Linked DNA regions of Saccharomyces cerevisiae S288C. The gene in region 2 interacts genetically with the main gene of each other region. Each region holds a gene or a part of one and is shown on either strand. Other genes may lie near its edges. The genes, in order: PAL1, RQT4, YHR210C and YIR016W.

What was found.
Region 1: mutations in RQT4 (region 2) and PAL1 together harm fitness more than expected from each alone (negative genetic interaction), as found in Saccharomyces cerevisiae (2 studies listed by BioGRID).
Region 3: mutations in RQT4 (region 2) and YHR210C together harm fitness more than expected from each alone (negative genetic interaction), as found in Saccharomyces cerevisiae (2 studies listed by BioGRID).
Region 4: mutations in RQT4 (region 2) and YIR016W together harm fitness more than expected from each alone (negative genetic interaction), as found in Saccharomyces cerevisiae (2 studies listed by BioGRID).

What each region holds. Positions count from the first base shown.
Region 1 is NC_001136.10:1,169,826-1,175,459, forward strand, and holds PAL1 (Pal1p), read right to left. Parts: upstream 2,001-5,634; coding exon 501-2,000; downstream 1-500. Other genes in the region: mitochondrial 37S ribosomal protein mS43 MRP1, read left to right, coding at 1-318; YPS7 (putative aspartic endopeptidase), read right to left, coding at 2,561-4,351. UniProt on the Saccharomyces cerevisiae protein: Involved in the early step of endocytosis.
Region 2 is NC_001143.9:480,599-486,692, forward strand, and holds RQT4 (Rqt4p), read left to right. Parts: upstream 1-2,820; coding exon 2,821-4,413; downstream 4,414-6,094. Other genes in the region: ALY1 (Aly1p), read left to right, coding at 1-1,383; NTR2 (Ntr2p), read right to left, coding at 1,573-2,541; DBP7 (putative ATP-dependent RNA helicase), read right to left, coding at 4,546-6,094.
Region 3 is NC_001140.6:519,148-524,579, forward strand, and holds YHR210C (aldose 1-epimerase superfamily protein), read right to left. Parts: upstream 2,591-5,432; coding exon 1,565-2,590; downstream 1-1,564. Other genes in the region: CRG1 (S-adenosylmethionine-dependent methyltransferase), read left to right, coding at 290-1,165.
Region 4 is NC_001141.2:380,675-386,044, reverse strand, and holds YIR016W (uncharacterized protein), read right to left. Parts: upstream 3,418-5,370; coding exon 2,620-3,417; downstream 1-2,619. Other genes in the region: YIR018C-A (uncharacterized protein), read left to right, coding at 344-481; YAP5 (Yap5p), read right to left, coding at 699-1,436; MET28 (Met28p), read left to right, coding at 1,926-2,489; ribonuclease P protein subunit RPR2, read right to left, coding at 3,663-4,097; VLD1 (Vld1p), read right to left, coding at 4,231-4,959.

The DNA.
Region 1 (5,634 bases), on a different chromosome or scaffold from region 2:
AATGAGCTCAATAACCAATATACCAACATGGAAAAACAACGAGCCAAAGAAGCCGGTAATCTTGAAGATTCTGAGATGACTGCCAAGCAAGCCAAGACAAAATTTATTTATGAAACCCAACAGAAAGGTTTTTCTGGGAAAGAGGTTTCATATATCCCGCTTTTAGCCATTGATGCGTCACCAAAAACATGGTTAACTGATTATGGCGTATTTGGGAAACGAGAATATTTAGAAAGGGTATGGGACTCTATAGAATGGAAAATTGTAGAGTCAAGGTTACCTCAACGTACTAAGATCCAAGCATTCAACACGTTATGAATGAAACTGGTAATGGGAATTTTTTCCTTTTGATATAAGTTGGTAGTCTCTGTAAATATATAAAGTCAAACTATTCGTAATGTGTATATAACGTGGTCTTAAATTATTTTTATTCGTATCTCTCCCTTTTATTTGCCTGGCTTTGGTGTCTCATAGCTTCTTTTCTCTCTTTTAAGCTCACTTTACTGACTTTTCCTGCCGACCTTTAGACTTTTTACTCTGCTCAGTAATTTGCTGCCCGTCGATTTCTTTTTCATATTGGGCTCATTGTAGCGCACACCCAAATAAACGTCTTCCTCATCTTCATTGTGATCATCTTGGCCGTCGAAATCAGTAGTATAATTGGACTTATGCGTTCTGTTAGGAGAATTAACGGTTTTCGACCTTCTAACACCTTCATTGCTGTGACCAACATCATAGTTGTCTCTACTTAAACTCAAGTTTCTTCTAACGCCTGTCATGGGGGCATTGCTATCACCGGATCCTCCGAGACCTAATCGTTGAGAAAGTGACTTATTTCTTTGTAAACCACCGTTACGATTATGATAGGAATGGGCTTTTATGTCGTTTCTAATGGCAGCTGAGGAGGCCGGCGCCCCATCTAAAAACGTACTAGAACCTAATCCCGCAGTAACTGGCCCATGAACCAATTCTGTCTTATTTTTGGCATCCATTTGTTGGACGTTACCCACGTTTGCTTTTATTGCGTCCTGCGTATCACCACCTCTCCTTAGAGTCTGCGAACTGTACTGGTATATATCAGAATCATCTGTATCATCTCTCCCAAAAACCTCATCCAGGGCAGACTTCTTGGTTGAAGCGCCACCGATGGTACTGTTTGGACCATCGACCGGAAATGCTAAAACAGGCGCAGCTTTGTTATTTTTATTTCTATGAGGTGTTACTGCATCGAATGGGCCGTCATGATGAAATGAGCCACCGAACAATCCAGTTACATCTAACTTATCGATAGTATCGACGTTCTTAGGAACAATAACCTTACTTTTTCTCTTTCCCTTCTTAGAAGGCGTTGAAGATGAGGAAGCTTCACGGTGATGGTGGGATGAAGATCTGCGTGAAATATATGTGCCGCTGTTGCTATGTTCGCGGTGAGAAGAAGGACGAGAAACCTTTTCCTTTGGATATGCACGCCTTGATCCATTGGTTGAAGTGATCTCTTCGTATGAGGGTGGTAGGTCAGTGTTTTCTCTTGTGTTACCTACTGTACTTACGTCACTTTCCTCCAAATATCTTTGCCTTAATTGTTCTTTTTCTTCTTTAGCAGTGGGATGATTTTTATTCCTTGAAACAGGTGGGGGAGACCTTCTAAAATCGGTTGCAGAACTCACATCGTCTAGGAAAGGATTCTTTGAGGAAAGAGGTCTCGAAGGTGGTGATAAACTACCACTACTAAAGCTCTCCAAACCAGAATAAAAAGCACCCTGCTGATCTGCGTTTCGCTGGGGTTCATCCTCTGGAATGTTTGGGAATGATAATTGTGAAGAAGTTCTTGTGTTCAATTGTGGCATATCAAATGAATTGGTACGAGATTGGTTTTTCGCCCACTCCTGAAACTGGGAGTCATTTTTATACTGATTAATACTTGAATCAACTGTGGCATTTCTAAACGGGTTATTAACAGAAAATGGCCTACTAGAGGTACTACTGTTTCTATTCTCCATGCTAAATCTTGCGTATATGTATCAATTTTTCTAAAAATGGAAAATGCTGGCAAAGTGTAATGGAACCTACAATGTATCAACAATTAAGCAGTCGAAGATTATGGTAAAATGACGTTACGTGTTCGAAGGGATAGGTCTGCAAAACACTTAAATTCCTCGAATAAAAATAACAATAAAAAGAGCGAGGTAGATCGGATATATTTCGGATTCTACACACTATAAAATACAAATTAGAAATTTTACAGAGTTACCTCCCAAGAAAGAGTATCTTCATTTTCTAGTGAATAACCTATCGCCAGTCACCATGATCTGCTGTTGAACCAACCTCGAGGCGGGAAAAAAAACAAAAAAAAAAGTAACGCGATTTACGCTCCGTGCACGACGATTCTTTGAGATGGCTGCCAATGGTTGATCACAAGTACTAGCTTCTACACAACTGGATAAGAATGACGCATATATACTTTTAAGTATGTTGTTATTAAATCTGCTATATAATGATGTTATACGTGCATTGGTCAAGGAGAAAAAGGTTTTATGTTATGAACTTTTGTTAAAACCATTCAAAGAACAATAAGTATCGAGAATATCGAAAGTAGTAGCAAGGAAGCTATACGAGTTACATGTCCAGCTGGATCTTTGTTAAATGTATAAGGACTGCTCAATCGAACGCCTGCTCCCGAAGCACTGCTGGTTCTATTAGTTGAATTTGACCACTCTTCTGAGGCTGACACAGAAAAGCTGTCGAATTGAGTACTGGATGGTCTAGCACTTGTGCTTGCTCTTGAAGTATCATAGAATGACCGGCCCGCACCTGTAATCACACCGTTTGAGTATGCTGCTGTCAGTTGACCTGGGACAGTGAACATATAGCCTGACCTATAGGATGGATAAAGAGTCAAGTTTCTTGTATTACTACTATTCATCACTTTTGCGTAAGGAATGTAACCAGATTTGATCTTCTTGATGATAGTGGACGCGGTAGTTTCATTTGTCTCTTCAGTAACTGCGTCATCTTCAACCTTCTTTGCCTGTGCAATGGCTATAGTGTTATCCTCTAAGTCCATTGCCATATATATATTTTTTATGAAGGCTTCTCCGAGTATGTTTACTCCAGTATTTGTATTAGCGTATAGTGTTAGAAAACAAGCTTCCTGTCCAGAACTGAAAAACATTGAAGAATTGGTGGATGTATCGTAAGTAGATGATAATAAATCACGTAGGGGTATTTCAATTGTCAATTCTCGAAGCCTGAAACCCAAGGAGACACCCATATCTGCTATAGAACATTGGACTAGCCACCTATCTAGTGATTCCACATAAGTGGCCGCAATTTGAACGGCAATCTGAATAATGGTACTAGTTGGCAGGTAACTGACCGAAGAAGTTGAATCAAGTAAGGCTGGGCTCAGAAAGTCCTTCGAAGTCATATTCAAACTTTGTCCGCTGTTAGACACAATATAAATAGGGCCTAATGGCACAATTGGGTACCCAACACTAACAGCATTACTCACTGGGTCAACGTAAGGAATTAAGTCAAATTTTCCCAGTGTACCGGTAAACAGCGAAGGATCCACCCCTCCAAGAAGTAGCTTCCCACAATTAGATATTGGATCTCTATATGTTTTGTACGTGGAAGTGTCTCCAGCCAACCACAGTGAATATGACGAACTTTCAATGATATCTGCATCTTTCAATAAGGATAGAAAATAAGACTGTTCTGTGTATTGTGAGCTATCGATAGCATTGCCTGGGTTTGTGACCTTCCCGCTTAAACCTAACAAGCCTGAAGTCTTAAAGTTCGAGGACTGAATATCAAAGAAGGAAACGTTTGAAATGGATAGGCTCCCCGAGTTAAATTGTACGTTATCTCGAGTTACCATTAAATCGGTTATCAAAGCGGTCGAGGAATTTTCTGAGGAAACATTTGTAAAATTCATATCGTCTGTCACCAAAGTACAGTTAACAGCTCTACCATCAATGAAAGAAATCTCATATATTTGGCCAGGAGAAACAGGAACAGATGATGTAGAGTCATTCATGAGGTAGCTGGGATGCTTATGATATACACCGGAGTATTCGTTATGACTTTCGCTTGTTCCGGAAACCAGATTTATGTACGGTTGGATAATATCCACTAGCAAACGTTGGCGTTGACCGGGAGTGCCAAATGTGCTATTAACATAGTAGTTTCCTCTACCATCTTTACCCACGGCTAGTACAGGAAACGGCTCCTCCGTTGACGAAGAGGTTCCAGACTTTGCTGTAGTTGTTGTATTTGCAGTACTAGCCGTTGCAAACTCTAACTGAAAAGTTGATATGAGCCACAGATACCATAAAATTAGGCATGTCATAGCAAAAATCAACGGCAAATAAAGCAAGCACGCAGTTACGATACGTTCAAAGATCTTTCCAAGTTCTGTATCCTTCTAGAACGATTAGTCTAATGCAACTGATATGTCCAACATTCTAAATATAACTTATTTTGGTATTAGCTGCATCATTCTACCATGATGAGCTGCGGCGTTCAATATCTCATTTTTTTTTGTTCGGGGTAACGAGGTTCATTGTTGCAAATAGCACGACCAAACGAGCGGTATGATACAAAGCACTGCAAGTCATAGCTGAGGTAAAAAAAAAAAGAATGAAGATCTCATTGTTTGGGTTAAATTACTTTCAAGAGCCTCTTTTTTAGGCTCGGTTGGTTAAAAGAGCAAGAACCGAAACACTAGTGCATCAATTTTTATAACAATTTTGTAATTATGTTGATAATTGGCAGTAAAGTTACAAAATACACACTAATTAAAATATTGAACACTTACAATATAAAGCTGATATCAAAATAAATATCGAACAATAAATACAACTCTCTCCAATATCAATATACTGCCGTCGTTATTTAAAAAATTAGCCCACCTGGGAACATTATAGAAAGAGATTTGTTTTTTGGTCTGGCAATGTGTCATAATCAAGCTCTTTGCAATATACATCCCCAACTCATATATTTGTATACAGGAAGAAGAATCGACCACCATCTATCGACTAGCATATTATCATATACGGTGTAAAAAGATGACATAAAAGATGAGAAACAGGGTAATCCCAACAATTGTCTCAATATTTACCTATTTCTCACATTGTCACCGCTCGAAAGTGCATTTTATATACGTTCTTTTGTGACGACTACTTTTGGCGGGAATCTTAGCGCCTTAAATGCAGTGAAAGATTACTCTTTTGAGTTATTGCCTGAATTTTGTCTGCAAAATTGTTATTATTCAGGAATTTAGAATAATTCAACTCTGGAGGCCTGCGCTGTACTACGGGCTCAAGTAATACCGGAGTGTCTCGACAATCCTAATATAAACAGTCTTAGGGAAGTAACCAGTTGTCAAAACGGTTTATCAGATTAATTCACGGAATGTTACTTATCCTATATATTATATAAAATATGGATCATACTAAATGGTGGAAGCGCGGAACCTTGGATCTAAACTGTTGGAATAAGAATCCACTATCGTCTATCAACTAATAGTTGTACTATCAATATATTATCATATACGGTGTTAAGATGATGACATAAGTTATGAGAAGCTGTCATCGAAGTTAGAGGAAGCTGAAGTGCAAGGATTGATAATGT
Region 2 (6,094 bases):
GATTTTCAGTTCGAGGTGTTTGTCCCAAGCAAGTTTACAAACAGTATACGGTTACACCCTGATACAAATTATGATAAAATCAAAGCCCACCATTGGATAAAAATTTGCCTTCGTCTTTCCAAGAAGTACGGGGACAATAGAAAACATTTCGAAATAAGTATTGATTCTCCAATCCATATTTTAAATCAACTATGCTCACACGCGAATACTTTGCTACCGAGCTACGAGAGTCATTTCCAGTATTGTGATGAAGATGGTAATTTCGCACCAGCAGCAGATCAACAAAATTACGCAAGTCATCATGATTCCAATATTTTCTTCCCAAAAGAAGTTCTTTCGTCTCCCGTTCTTTCACCTAACGTGCAGAAGATGAACATTAGAATACCGTCTGATCTTCCAGTAGTGCGTAATAGAGCTGAAAGCGTAAAGAAAAGCAAGTCAGATAATACCTCCAAGAAGAATGATCAAAGTAGCAATGTCTTCGCATCCAAACAGCTGGTCGCAAACATTTATAAGCCCAATCAGATTCCAAGAGAATTAACTTCTCCTCAGGCGTTACCATTATCGCCCATCACCTCACCAATTCTCAATTACCAACCATTATCAAACTCCCCGCCTCCAGATTTTGATTTTGATCTAGCTAAGCGCGGCGCAGCCGATTCTCATGCTATTCCTGTGGATCCTCCATCATATTTTGATGTATTAAAGGCCGATGGGATTGAATTGCCATACTACGATACAAGTTCATCTAAAATTCCTGAACTAAAACTAAACAAATCTAGAGAGACATTGGCCAGCATTGAGGAGGACTCATTCAATGGTTGGTCTCAAATTGATGACTTATCCGACGAAGATGACAATGATGGCGATATAGCATCTGGTTTCAACTTCAAGCTGTCAACCAGTGCTCCGAGTGAGAACGTTAATTCACACACTCCTATTTTGCAGTCTTTAAACATGAGTCTTGATGGGAGAAAAAAAAATCGTGCCAGTCTACACGCAACATCAGTGTTACCTAGTACAATAAGACAGAACAATCAGCATTTCAATGACATAAACCAGATGCTAGGCAGTAGTGACGAAGATGCCTTTCCCAAAAGCCAATCATTAAATTTCAATAAGAAACTACCAATACTTAAAATTAATGATAACGTCATACAATCAAACAGCAATAGTAATAACAGAGTTGATAATCCAGAAGATACAGTGGATTCTTCAGTCGATATTACAGCATTTTATGATCCAAGAATGTCATCAGATTCCAAATTTGATTGGGAGGTAAGCAAGAACCATGTTGACCCAGCAGCCTACTCGGTTAACGTTGCTAGTGAAAACCGTGTACTGGACGACTTTAAGAAAGCATTTCGCGAAAAGAGAAAATAAGTACATTATTTTCATTCTCCGACAGAATTGCTACCATTTTACTTTGTGTCCTGTGATTCAATAGTGTACAATATATTGGACATTTTATAGTATACAAATATACACCATCAATCTATACATCCATATCACTTGTCGTAAAGATATCCCTTTTTAATAGTACAGCGATTAAAAAAATAACATGATTAACGTTCAGTTACCAATGAGCTTATTTATTAGGCTTGCTTTAGATTTTTCCAAGTCAATTTTTGTTTTTTCTAACGCTTGCAACCTCATCTCAACCTTCTTCCTTTGCAAGCAGATCTTCGAAACCATCTCGTTTATTCTCTCAATGCTGTTCCCACTTTCATCATCGTCTGGGAAAAGTACCGGTAAGGGCGTGATGATTTTCTCATTCGATTTGTTTATATTTCCTTTGCTTAAAAGCTGGGTTTCCCATTCTTCATTAGTTCTGTAGGGCACTTCATTTATGGCCTTCTCTATAATCTTTCTTTTAGAATCCTTTTGAATAGCAATTTGATTATCCGTGAGGGCTAGCATTTCGTCTTGAAAGCCTTGCATTTCATCGTCACTGAAGTTCGTAATCTCCTTTTCATTGTTACGTTTCAGACCACCATTTAATCTTATTGTCTCCATAATTTCGCGTTTATCCTCACTGTCCAACAATTTTACATAATCTCTTTCTGTTGTAACATCACTCTCACTAATTTTCCTTCTAGATAATGACTTCTGTGCTTTCAGTTTTGCAATTTCTCCTCGGGTTGGTATACTACTAATGTGCTCACCTTCGGAGCTACTGCCAGCCTCTGAAGAATCACTTAATAGATGATGATTCCCCTCCATCAAGTCCTCCATATTGAGAATTAGCAAATCATCTTTGTTTCGCGTCGATGCATTGGTATTTTTCTTTGAATGGTAAAGATCTTCATAATGCGAATTATCCTCCTTTATTGCTTGTTCGCCATCAAAGGTAATGTCGCGCTTAGGAACTTTTTTAAACTTTATTGGTTGTAATACACAAATGTCGTTGTCATCATCTTCAGAATCGTTCGACACTAGGGGCTTAATTTGCTGCATTGGCTTATGCGCAGAACCATCAATTCCAACCTCCTCAGGAGAACCACTTGGTAACCTAATTTTATTTCTTTTCTTGATCGCCATAATGTGTTCAAATGCTATAACATTGCTAGGCAGAACTTGACGTAACTCGACCAGTTATATTGCTTCTTCAAAGCACAAATTTATGATGATTGCTTTCAGTTATGAGGTTCATTTCGATATTCTTTATGATCTTCGCTTGCCGGGTATCGGACAAATATTGAAATATTATACAGCAAGAAAGAGGCATAAAGAGCCTGGCAGCAGCAAATAATGGCAAAGTGAACGTAGTCCGAGAAACAGTGGCTTAATTATTTAACCTTGGGTTTGCAGTAATTAATAATGACAAGAAAGCAGGCTATTGACTATGCAATCAAACAAGTTCCGCAAATATTGCCTTTGGAAGAGTCTGATGTAAAAGCGCTGTGCGAACAAGTACTGAGTACATCATCTGATGATCCAGAACAAATTGCTTCAAAATTTTTGGAGTTCCTAGGTCATGAAGATCTATCGTTTGAATTTGTAATGAAGTTCAATGAATTATTGAATCAGAATGATAAAAAAGAGGAAAAAAAAACGAAAAATGTGCATCTTGAACATACTGCCCCCACTTCATGGAAAAATGAATCAAAACAGCCCACTAATAACTATATCAATAAGAAGGGAGATGAAAAACCAAAAAAATTAAAGGATGAGAAGAAAAGCTCGACAACGAGGCCTACCGTTCAACCATCAAATCAATCTACGCAATCAAACCCCATAAAGGAGAAAAAAGAGCACAGATCAAAGGGGAAATTACAATCGTTACAAGAAATAGACGAAGCAATCAAGATGCTAGAGCTTCGAGATAGCGGTTCTTCTAAAAATTGTAATTGTCAAGGTACAAGGCATCCAGTTTTCGACATCGCGCCAAACTGTCTTCACTGTGGTAAAGTGGTTTGTGTTATAGAGGGATTGAATAAAGGTAAATGCGGTCATTGCCATGAACAGTTGATTTCTGATAACGAAAGAACCCAAATGGTAGAAATTTTAAATCAGGAAAAAAACGAACTAAACGGTTCATCATCGTCCTTATCCAATGCGTCAAATGGAGCTAATGTCCCAAAGAAGAAGACTAAAACCTACAAAATAACTTCCGGTATGGGTAAAAATTTATTTGCTGAACAGGACAAATTATTTGATTTCATCGAAAGGAAAAGAGAAAGAGAAAGAAAGCGTAATGAAGTGTTGAAATTGCAGGAGGAAAAAGAAGAGAGCGAAGCAAAGGAAAGACAAGCGAGCGAGCATGACCATAAAGCTGAGGAAAACCCGGAGTTGTTAGCAGCACAAGAACGATTAGATAGACTTTTATATTTCCAAGACACTTCGGCAGAAAGAACAAAAATTATTGATAATGCCAGCGATTTTGACATGAATCAGGAGGTGGGTTTATGGGGCAGCGCAAGAGAAAGAGCTCTTGCGTTGAAGAAGCAACAACGTAATTTGAGAAAGTGGGAAAAAGTAGAAAAGGAACGGAATGGCAGGCGCGAGAAGTACGTTGTTAGCATGAATATAGGTTCAAACGGTAAAGTTACTATGACAGAAGTCCCTAAGGATACAGAGAACGTAATTGCAGGTTCAGATGATGACATCAGTGATATAAGTGACGAAGAAGATATCAGCGACCTTAAACATATACACGCTCTGAAAAGTGAAATAAATACAACGAAATCCTTGGAGAATTTGCATTTACAGTCCAAAGCATGGGATTACGAACGTGATAAAAAACAATTCGATAGGCCTACGTATGTGAAAAAAAATTCAGATACTGCACAACAGAATAGAAAAACGGAAGAAAAGGCTCACGACATGCAAGCTTATGATTTAAAGTCAAGAGTACAAGTGGACCAAAATGCAGACGCATCAGTAGAACAGAATATTCTTGCTGTACTTTGATGAATGGTAAAAGTTTATATTATATATGATAGAGGATATAACCGTTATTCATTTTCTGTAGATTTTATCATTTTCTTTGTCTTCATAGTATACAATTTTTTTTTATATGAATTAATGCTTGTTCTTGTCTATTTAGTAGTTAAACTCACTTGCTATTTGCTTCTCTGCCATACGAGCCATACGAAACATTTTATTTTTAGAGTTTTCCTTAGTTGGCTTCTTTTCACTATTACCATCCTTACTACTTTGCAATCCCATAGCCTTTGGCCTTTCACGTAACCCAAAACTTTTAGCTAAATGGCCTAGATGTAAGAACTTCACGTTGAAAAACTTCTTTTCTTGAGAGATATGCGTTGCGTAAGCCCTCACATGACTAATGAAACCTTTAACGGCCAAATTTTTGAATGCGGAATCTCCCACTACTCGTCTTTCTATATTCAAATGCCATGTCGTAGCATTGGTATCCCACTCATATTCTTTATCGCCCACGTCTTTATTTTTGGACGATTTCTCATCTTTTCTAATGAATTTATCATTTCTGTTGACATTCACATCTTTGAAAGCCGGCATTAGTATTTCTTTATCGAATTTCAGTAATTCCCAACCCATCGGATGATACGGCTGGATATAGTCCATATATTTTTCTTCTTCGCCAGGAAGTAAAAATAACAAACTTTCACCCTTCTCACCGGCCCTTGCTGTACGACCAACTCTATGTAAATGGTCTTCAACAGCAAATGGTGGATCCAACTCAATAACAGATCCAACGTGGGGAAGGTCTAGGCCTCTACTTGCGACATCTGTACAGAACATAATAAGATGTTTTCCCTTGGTGGCTTCATTATCACGAGCAAAATGCTGCAATGTAGAGGTTCTCATTTGTTGGGATAAAGAACCGTGCAATTTATAAATCACTACATCTGGGTCCCTAGAATCTGAAAAACAAGGAAACATAGTGTTTCCTTTTGTCAATAGTCTTACAGAATCACCCGTTAGATTTTTATGGTGCCCGTCACTTCCTGAAAATGCGTCATAATGAAACTCCACGCTGTCTGAACATGATACGAATACGATTGTACGCAGCGTTTTGGACTGTTGACCGGAAGCGATGAAATCTTTGGTAATGTTGTTCAAAGTAGCAGCTAATGTTACAAGACGCAACTTTGGTGGGACAATAGTAATCCTCTGCAATAGTTGATCGGGCGCAACCGTTACTATATCAGAATCTTTCTTGGTACCGTTGCTAATCAATTTGTAATCTTTCAACGCCACGTTTCTTAACCTATTAACACCATCAGTAAGTGTAGCACTACATAACATGTGCACTAACTTATGCGGTAGCTTGGGAAATTTTTCGGAGTTGATGGGAATATCGTGAACAATTTTAATAATTTCACTGATCGTCTCATCAAAACCCAATTCCATTAACTTATCTCCTTCATCCAATACGATATACCTTAGAGATTGACTCAATTGCTCCTTGATAACTTTTGTATTTTGTAAATGATCCAAAACACGACCTGGTGTACCGATTATGAAATTGCAACCCTTACGCAATCTAGCTTTTTCTGATTTCTTACGTTCTCCACCAATCAATAAACATGGGACCAAGTAGTGACAACATGACACAAGCGTGGAACAAACATGATATATTTGTGATGCTAGTTCTCGTGTAGGAGCA
Region 3 (5,432 bases), on a different chromosome or scaffold from region 2:
CTTCCATCATCGTGGCATACAGGTTCAGGCATGAAGAGATGATTATGTTCCCTCACCGGTCCATAATCCTGATTTAAACAGTTCATTAGTATATGTTCAGCCAACACAACAACGAGAAGCTTTGTAGTGAAAGTTTTCCACGATCTATATTTAGCATTCTAATTAGCGGCCCCAAGGGAACGTATATAAACATAAACAAACGGCACGAACTAAAGGGGCAAATTCAAGTTAACCCTTTTACACTCAGTACATCTTCAAAGCCAGTCTTCTGTCAATGGAAGAATCCAGAATGCCTAAAACTAGTTATTTAAACAAAAATTTTGAATCTGCTCACTATAATAACGTACGTCCCTCTTACCCTTTATCTTTAGTCAATGAGATAATGAAATTTCACAAAGGCACACGCAAAAGTTTGGTTGATATTGGATGTGGCACAGGAAAAGCAACTTTTGTCGTTGAACCCTATTTTAAGGAAGTGATTGGGATTGATCCTTCTTCTGCTATGCTTTCGATTGCTGAGAAAGAAACAAATGAACGTAGATTAGATAAAAAGATTAGATTTATTAATGCGCCTGGTGAAGATTTATCCAGCATTCGACCAGAAAGTGTAGATATGGTTATTTCAGCAGAAGCCATCCATTGGTGCAATTTAGAAAGGCTGTTTCAGCAGGTTTCCTCTATATTACGAAGTGATGGAACTTTTGCATTCTGGTTTTATATTCAGCCGGAATTTGTGGACTTTCCCGAAGCCTTGAATGTATATTACAAATATGGATGGAGCAAGGATTATATGGGTAAATATCTGAACGACAACCAACGGGAAATTTTGTTGAATTACGGTGGTGAAAAGCTACGTTCTTTATTGTCAGATCGATTTGGAGATATTGAAGTCACAATTTACAGTCCTTCGGACCCAAATGCATCAACAGTAACGGCTGAAAACAGTCAGTTTCTCTGGAGAGCAGCTATTACTCTCAATCAATTTAAAGAGTTTGTGAAAAGCTGGAGCATATACACTTCTTGGGCTAGAGATAATCCCTCGAAACCGGATATTGCCGATATATTCATTAACGAGCTCAAAGAAATCTGTCATTGTGAAGATTTGAATGTACCTTTAAAAATAGAGTGGTCAACGTTTTATTACTTATGTAGGAAAAGAGAATGAGGTTTACTAAATTAAAAGAAATATATAAAAAGCTGATTTTTTTCTTTTTTTAAATATTTCCCAAATGCTAATAAATATTAAAATATGGCAAAAAGAAAATAAGGTGTTGTTGCGCAGTTGGGAGTAATTTAAAACCGTCAACATATGCTCTAAAAATTTTATTGGCTCTAAATTCCGACCTCTGAATGTAATTATGTTTTAAAGCGATACGTAAACTTGTTACTGTTAACATTAAAAGATAATGCAATCATGGTAACATAATAAAGTCTCAAAAAATTCTTAATATTAACTATAACATATGCACTTCAGAAAGCTGTTTCCGGATCATATCTCATTATAAAAAGCTCAATTTATAGAAAAATAATGCGACAGTGCAAAGTAAACAACTAAATTTGGTGCCTACACCGCAAAACGATATCGAGTCTTAGAAGTATATACCTCACCACGTCTCAAAAGAACGCAGTCTCTCCATCCATCACGGTTGATTGCGTCAACATATCTGCCTTGTTCAACGGCAAAGCCAGATCTCGGCGTAAATCCATCACACAAGTTGTCACCTGTGTAAAATAGGACAGTTGGTTCTGTTGTTGAAACCTCCAATGAAAGTCGTGATGCCGGATGATAAGCCTTGAAGGCAGGGACGAGCTTGTTTACACTTACTGAGTCTGTCGTTTTCAAATTCTTATTTTCATCAACAATGAAAGCGTAGTCATAAATCGGGCCATCATCCTGCAGAATGGTAGGTTTGGAGGAGTCAAAAGTAGCAATTTTTCTTTGAACGATTTTACCGGTTGGAATTAGTGCTCCTTCGCTTACTTCCAATGATTTATCTGAGCAGAGCCTAACCTCCGTACCGCTAATGGATTTTTTATCCATAGTTTTGTTTAAATTGAAGTACGTGTGATTCGTCATGTTGATGGGAGTAGCCTCACCGCTGACCAGTTTTGCCTCGTATTCCAAGTCCAAGGTCATGTCAGCAACGTTCAATGTGTACTTTAAGTTTACAGCTAGATCTCCCGGAAATTCATTGGGCAGTGTGCGGTCATCCAATAACGTAAATTCAACAATGTAAAGGTCATCAAGAGGATTTTGGACTTTGGATGCCTTATACTTCTTGAGATGGAAGGAGCTGATGCTACTGTGGTTGGTGTTTCCACAATTGTTCACTGTCAACTGATGAGGTCCATCTTCCATACTGAACATGCCCTTGTAAATACGATTTGCATAACGGCCAACAGTAGCACCAATGTAGTTGTAGCCATCTGATATATAGCCATGAATATCAGGGTATCCTAGAACAATCGATTCGTTGTTCACTTTCAAGTCAAGCAAAGTAGCGCCAAGCTCTGAAATTGTTGCTTGAAGCTTTTTTGCATCACCAATAGTGATGACTTCATATTCACCGCCAGCCTTATTATTTGACATTATCACTTTTTGGCTTTTTAGGTGAATTTACTTATTGCAGTAACATAATGTACAATTGAGTTCCAGTACTTCGTAGTACATTCTGATTTTATATCTCAGAGCATCCAAGGTGTTTACGCATGAATAACCAAACCATGGAGGAGTTACTTTTACCTTTTTTTAAGATATTCAGCTAGTAACTAATTGTCGGAAAAACTTAACAGGTACAAGGCCATATTATCACGTAACAAACCTAATTTTTGTACGATATTAGTGCCCGAGAATTTCTCCGTAGCGTAATTTTCTGCGAGAATTTCTGCGCAGTGCAAAGATATGCGACCTGACACTCTTTACGAAACTTTACCCCTCCCCCACCTCCACCTGCATTTATCCCGTCAAAAAGTGTCAATCACCTGGATGCATAAGGAGGAAAAATTATTCCAAGGATGTTGGACAACGCGAATTTTGGAAGTGACTTCTCATAAGCTTCTGATCTCTACTATATTCTTGTAATTTGGTGGGGTAGTGCAGGCTTACTGTGCGATGAGCAAATCCAGCGTATTGCTCACAGCGATAGGCCTTTGAAATGATATTGTTTGAATGCAAAACGCAGAAATGATATTCAACTTCATAATCTCATTAAACAAGATAGCATGCCAATAGAATTCCATTTTTTCCGATTCTTAGGCCATTTACAACCAAGTATCAACTTTCGTATAATTTTATTTCCATAATTATACGCAAATGCTGCAGTAGTTGCACATAGAATGATGATACGACCTAATAAAGGAAAAGGGGAATCTGTTCTGAGCTGAAAACTGATTCAAAACTCAATTTGGACACTCGGTTCGGGTGCTGGCCAGCAATAGTTTAGTGTTATCATGTCATAATCTTCCTCATAGGTTTCAATGTAATATCGATAATTACAAAGTAGTTCCTTTTCATTTAAATTTATATGCAAGAAGATAAGAGTTGATGTAGCAGTGCACCAGTTTTGCTTTACAATTCTTACAGTTTTATGAAAAATAATCTCCAATATGCCATGCTGAACTGGCATTCTTTTTGAGTGCAAAAGGAGGTTTTGGAAAAACAAAGTCTTCTTCTGCGTGTTACTCTGAAAATGTTGAAAAATAAGCTGAATGGGGCATTACATGTTTTCATCCAAACATGCCTTGTCAATAACGAGATTCGCGACGTATTCTTTTAGTATTCTGTTCCTTTTTTTTTTTGCTCCGCGCGCACTTGAACATCTTGCATATTTTTCTTTTCTGTTTTCATCCAGAGGTTGTGTTCTAGGACTTTCTGACGGAGGAATATCATCAAATCATCACAATAAGATCAATTGCATGGGTTCCAGCACTTAGCCAAATGTACAAATCTTGATATTTACCGGAGACCAACCCTTAGTTTGAAGTGTGCGCTACCAGGGAATCTTCTTCGGTCATTATTTTCTATCTTCACGATAATCGATCCTCCTCCTATACGTTAATATCGACTGATATCTAAATACATCGTTGAAGAACGGCGGAAAAATACTTATTTTCAGGTTGTCTTCGTTTTCACTCACGATAGCAATATGGATCCTTTCACAGCTCCTATCACCGCTGTAGTTTTTTATGACGCTTAATTTCCTGTTAATAAGTAAATAAGGTAAGTTGAAGGTCCTTCATACTGTGATCTGCAATAAACCACATGGCTACCGCACTTCTTGTCACTATCCTATGTGGAGAAAACCCAGAAAAAACTTTAAAGCGTGATTGAAATCAATAATTTGGCAAAGAACTAGAACCATACGCAAGAAAACCTTCCAACTTTGGCATTGTACGCAGAAATGAGACACGTTCAAAGCACAGGTCTTGAAATTTAAAAAAGTTTCTCAAAAGTTCTCCCAAACCTTCAATTTCTATTGGTATAACAGTATTCTAGGAAGAAAACAGGCGAAGAAAGTTTCTTTACTTTCTTCCTTTAATAGACTTTCATGAATATCAAATGCTGTTGTTTTCAACTAAATCAGACAAGCAAAGGCGATTGCTAAAAGTGAACATATGGAAAATATATGGAAAAAATCTAGAGGCAACAAACGTTCGGGTTTCCTTTTAACTCCGAGAAAGAAAAATCATTAGAACTTCGTGTTAATCCTAATAGAGTTCAAATATGCTACTAGTCGTCAGAAACCTCAGTTACATGATTACACATTCTAAGACTTCACAAGTGAAAAATTTCCCGACGTTCATAGCATGTTACGTGATCGCGCAGGATGGGACAATTAAACGATCTTTGCAGTGGAGAAGGAATAACTTCCGGTTGCAGCTACTTGTCAAACAGAACACTGGTATGGATAAGATAATAGTCAGATCTTTTATTACTTATGAAACAATGTCAGTAACACAGCGTGTTTAACAGATAATGTTCTTTTAACAAAATTAAATGAGGTCTTTTATTGTGTGTGTCAAGTTGACAAGCCGCCTTTATTGATAGATCCCCACTAAAAATACCAGGAAATGATGAGCTCGAGTCTTTGTGCCTTTCTCATCATGGACCATTCGCACATGCAGTGCTGCACAACAAAAGATAAATCACCAGTATTAGGTGACTTTCAAAACACTAGAATTTAGGCACTTTCAACCCAGCCCAGCGCGTAGTAAGAATAAAGTAGGGGAAAACCTTACGAAAAGCCTCTTTCTTTTTTGTAAAAAATTCTGTTTTTAATAGCCAGTTCTTTAGTGATTACAGGTAAGAGGGTTTCATATTTTAGAAGTGCAGCCATGATGAAGCACTTTTGCTCATTTATTGCGAGAAGTTTAATAAGTAGTATGGTTCCATTTTCAAGAATCGAGGCACTGTTCCTTCCCAACCTTGGAAT
Region 4 (5,370 bases), on a different chromosome or scaffold from region 2:
AAAGCTTCTTTTGCGTAACGTCTAACTACAGCTAGATTCTCAAAAATTCGTGTTCAACTCAGAAGAGGAAAGCAATTTAAAAATGAAATTTGCGGGGATCCCATTATCTCTATTGTTTAGCACATTAGGATCTCATCCGCCAATACTAGAATTTGACACGACTTTCAAAAGGAAAGATCTAAATTATGGTATCATGTTAATAATCAGTACGCATATTCGCATTTAGATTTAAATGGTTTGCGTCCAGTTTTTCTTATGTACGATCTATTTTACGTTATAATAACGGTTCTACCATTACATTTACATAGTAGACAGGCTGCCACTCCTCTGCGTCAAAAATAATATGCCTAGTGATTATACTTCCCATTACCCAGTAATACTTATCAAAAAAAAAAAAAAAAAAATTGCAGGAATGTATAGGCATAGTAAGCGGTACCTTGAGATAATGTCCACCGCTTCAGCTCAATTCGTCGGAAACTAACGTCTCAAAATATGGCGGCGAGAACACCAAAGGCGGGGTGTCCAAAACGCTTTTGCACTCTGCGGCCAATGTCCATGAACTAATTCTTTACACATAACCACAGTAATAAACTTGCAAAGAAAAAAGCAATGTCACTCCTTTCATGTGCGTTCTTTTGACGTTACAAAAGTTGAGCTGTTCAATGACGTATTTATAAGTATTAAGAAGTTCTCTCTCTTCAGTGGATGATGGACCGGATGTCGATACATGATTTGTCGATATTAGTACAATTACTACAGAGCCCATTGGGGTTATCTTTATTATTGCACTCTGCATGTGGCATCGACATATCCTTCTGTTCTGTGGCCACACCGTCGTCACTTTTACGGTGATCTGTTTCCAGTTCTTTACAAACGCAAGTAGTGTTGTCGTTACAAAAGCCGCATTTGACAGAGCTAGGCAGTTCTGTCGAGTGCTGGTGGCGCTTGATAGCGGTATTGTACTTAATAGGTATCGCCTTCATTGGTTTGAAATTCTCGATCAAATTCTGCAGGATAGGGTCCTGAGCAGGCACAGAGGCTTGTTTCAGAGTAAGGGTCTCCAATTTCTGTTTAAGGGCATGATTTTCCGATTCTTTCGCTTGAAGTTCATTTTGGAGGCGGTTTAGTTTCGTTTCGTAGTTTTTAACGACCTTACTCAGTGACTCTATGGTTTCCTCCAGCACTTGCAACTTGTTGTTTTTGCGTTCTCTGTAGGCCCTTTGGGCGTCTCTATTCTGCCGTTTTTTCTTCTGTAGCTCCTCATCATTTTCTTCAGTTTCGTAATCTTCGTGAAGTCGATGAACTCTTTTCCTCCGCTGAGCTGCTCTATGGGGCAACCTTGGAGGCAGTTTCCAATTTTTGGACACGTGGATCTTGGACAAAAGAGCGAGGTGGCTTTCCTCAGACTCCTTAGGTTTTATCAGAGGTAGAGCCATGACTGTGATAATATGCTAGTTACACTGTTTATGTTGTGTGAACTTGTTGTAATATGGTTAACTTCACTTTCAGTGATTGATATGATAGCGACATCACTGCCGTGCAAAAAGACCATTCCATTACTGCACCTTTTTGTCCTTTTCCGTGGAATAAAAGTTCACTCGTCAGTTCCATGCATTCTGGAAAAAAATGATCTGAAAGATGCCACAGTTGTGGGGCCCGCCCGGCCCAATAGGTAAACTAAAATACAATAGAAGGGGTACTGAGTGCACGTGACTTATTTTTTTTTTTTGGTTTTAGGTTTCGCTTTTTTCACCTTTTTCTACTTTCTAACACCACAGTTTTGGGCGGGAAGCGGAAACGCCATAGTTGTAGGTCACTGGCGTGAGTCAAGGCCGGGCAGCCAATGACTAAGAACACGAGGTAACTTGAATTTAACTATTTATAACCAGTGGTAGTTACGAAGACAAATTGTTTTGTTCGTCAATATGAGTGCGAAACAAGGGTGGGAAAAGAAATCAACAAACATTGACATTGCAAGCAGGAAGGGTATGAACGTGAACAATCTTTCGGAACATCTACAGAACCTGATATCAAGCGATTCAGAGCTGGGCTCGCGCTTGCTATCATTGCTGCTGGTTAGCAGTGGCAACGCGGAGGAGCTCATTAGCATGATAAATAATGGCCAGGATGTCTCGCAGTTTAAGAAGCTCCGCGAGCCGAGAAAGGGGAAGGTTGCCGCAACAACAGCAGTTGTTGTAAAAGAAGAGGAAGCTCCCGTGAGCACTTCTAACGAACTGGATAAGATTAAGCAAGAGCGGAGAAGAAAGAACACAGAGGCGTCGCAGCGGTTCCGCATTCGCAAGAAACAAAAGAATTTTGAGAACATGAATAAGCTGCAGAACTTAAACACGCAAATCAACAAACTTCGCGATCGTATAGAGCAATTGAACAAGGAAAATGAGTTTTGGAAAGCAAAGCTCAATGACATTAACGAGATTAAGTCTTTGAAATTGTTGAATGACATTAAGAGACGGAACATGGGCAGGTAGCCCGCGAAACGTGCGGGCCTGATGTCTTGTTTTTCCTCTCCAACTTCGATTTTTCGATTTTTCCGTTTCTTTACCTAGCATATATATACACACATCTATCTACATATAAATATATATATATGTATATTTATTATTTATAGCATTGCGCGTGAGACAAAAGCGAGATCTTTTCGTCCCACTCCGCATTGATCAAGGACCGTTTATATTCCACAGACTCTATCTCGCTGGGAGAGCACCATCCTATAGTACGAAAGTTTGTAATAACTCGAGCGTACTGAGCGTCTTCCAGTTGTTGTTGGCGGCGTAAAGACTGCGCGGCTGCAGATGTGACGATAAATCTCTCGGAATCTGGGCGGCTAGCGGGACATACTGAATGCGTATGTTTGTCTCTGGGCATACTGTTCCTTCGAAAGAAAATACTCGAGGCTTTGGCAAGAAAACTGAGTTTTTCTTGTTCTGCCGGAACGCTAAGGCTTCCAGTTATGTCTTCGCGGCCAGATTTTCCTTGGTGTAAGATTGCAGATATTGCGCTCACAGAACTACGGTGCCGCCGACTTTGAACGCGCGGGCTGGACGATGATGACGATGACATATCTAGAGCCTTGGATAGGTCTCGCGACATGGAACTGTCGTCGTCGTCTTCATCATCGTCGTCGTCGTCGTTCCTTGAGGCGTCTTCGACTAATGACGGAGCATGGATGGCGCCTGCGCCATCTCGCGATAGTGTCATGTACTTGTGAAAAGCCGCCGAATCGTCATCCACATCATCATGTGGACCGAGCAACGAGGGCAGCAGACCATCTATAGAACTTCCTCGCGAACACGGTCCTGGCTCTACACCTGGTCCTTGTTCATCATGAGTCAAAGTTTCCGTAGCAGTCACATCAACTGGTAGTCCGACGCCTAGCAAACACCTCGTGCCACTCATTACCGACCACAACACCTCCTTGCGGTGTTTATCCGCTATGCTGGCAAGACGGAATCCTACATTACCTTCTTCAAACGGGCGTCTCGTTTTTTTCCCTGTGTTTTATGTCGTAGTTTTCCCTCAAAATACAGGCACGTACCCCATGTATAGGGGCAAGGGGGTGGGGGGTCGGCTCTTAAAGAAAATCTGGAAACTCCGCATTTTTGTCCTGCTCAAAACATTGGTCCAAAACCCTACCAATAACCCTAAGAATTTAGTAGATTACCCTCCCGCTCCGAGTAGGTCCTGTAATTAGGATCGGCGCCAATATTAAAACGTTTAACGGTACCGCACCCACACATTACCGAAAGCGCTCCGTCGGATGTGATTTCCAGTTTTTTTGGGGTCCATAACAACCGATGGCATTTTTTACAAATTGTTCTCTTTATCGTAGGAAGCAGTGATGTCTTGGTTTTCTTACTAATTAGGTCCATTGATTTGATATAATTGCGTGCCAAAGGCGTATGTGCGTCTGTTCTTGCTTTCTGTCTTGCTCTTGTTTGGTAAGCGGATATTTGGTAGAGGTAGTTTAATCTATGGAAATGGTCCTGGTTCGCAATCGTCCTTGGTGGCGGTACTAGCAGAGTACCATTTTCGTCGATCTCAGGTTTCATCTTTCCTCCGTGTGCTTTCTTGCCCATCTTTTTGCTTGTCTTTTCTCTGTCGGCGATGTGGGAAGGACAGTAGAAGAACCACGTATTGTTTTATTTTCTGTTCATCTTTTTTTTCCGTTCTTTTCATTTTGGTAATTTTTTTTCTTTTCCTTTCTTGAATTTATTCGGCGATATTCAGTAGAGGAGTGATCTCTGTAGCGTCATCCCCGTCTGCCTGTTGAGGAATCGACTTGTCATGATTCTTGAGTACTATGAGTTCCGGTCCGGTTGCATCCATGTGCCAGGTATTAAGTTTGAGAATGTTGAGTGCGCCCTCTTCTTCTGCATTCAACTCCTTGACAATAAGTTTCACGTTCTGAAGACTCGAGCTCAGTGAGCCGTTTATTATTACAATCTGGCAGAAAAGTAATAAAATATCGAGTAGTACCAGAAGTAGCTTGCTAGGAAACGCTGTGGGTACCGGACAAGTAAATTCCCTTATCAAAAGCATTATCACAAATCCGTACGGTTTGGAACATATGTCTCTCGATACGTCTAGCCTAATGTGGTATACTATACAGTACGCTGTTTCTAGAAGTATTAGGCCTTGGTAATATCGTATGGCTTTGTTTATTATCATTCTTACAATAGGTGTTTCTAACCCTCTGATGGCAAGACTTTCATCATCTTCCTGATCATTGTCGCGGCCCACCTCTAAATAGTTCTTCTTCAGGTACCTGAGTGTCAATTCCTGAATGAAATCACAGAGCGATGAAATTATCCACCCCAGGAGGATCAAGAATAATGATCCATCTTTGATAAACCTCAAGTACAGGCAGCAATAAACGAATTTCTGCAAATTCGCTATCACTGACCTTTGTCGTCCATTGTCATCTTCCAAATGCAACATTTCCTTCCGATGCCCTGCTCCTTTCCCTTTCTGTATTAGCTTGTCATCTAAGCCTTCGTCATTGAAGTATCCCTTCCCTTTCTTTCCCTGGAGAAAAGCCATATGAGAAGTTTATATTACCCGGTTTAAAGTTTGTTTTTTTTTTTTTTTCTACCACTAGAATGCTCTCTATAGTACCCATGATGCATTAGTTGAACACTAGCAGGTCAGGTTTTGTACCCTCCCGAATTATGGCTATCTCCTCAATTGCGATGACATTGTCAATATGAAACTAAGTTGTCAATTATCCTAGTTTGCGGCCACCTATGCCCCTTGTTGAAAATGGTACGCCTTTCAGAGATACTTGAATCTTAGGCACTTTTGGCGTAAGATTCTTGACGTTTTCTTTTCTTTTCAAACCTGAAAAGTGTT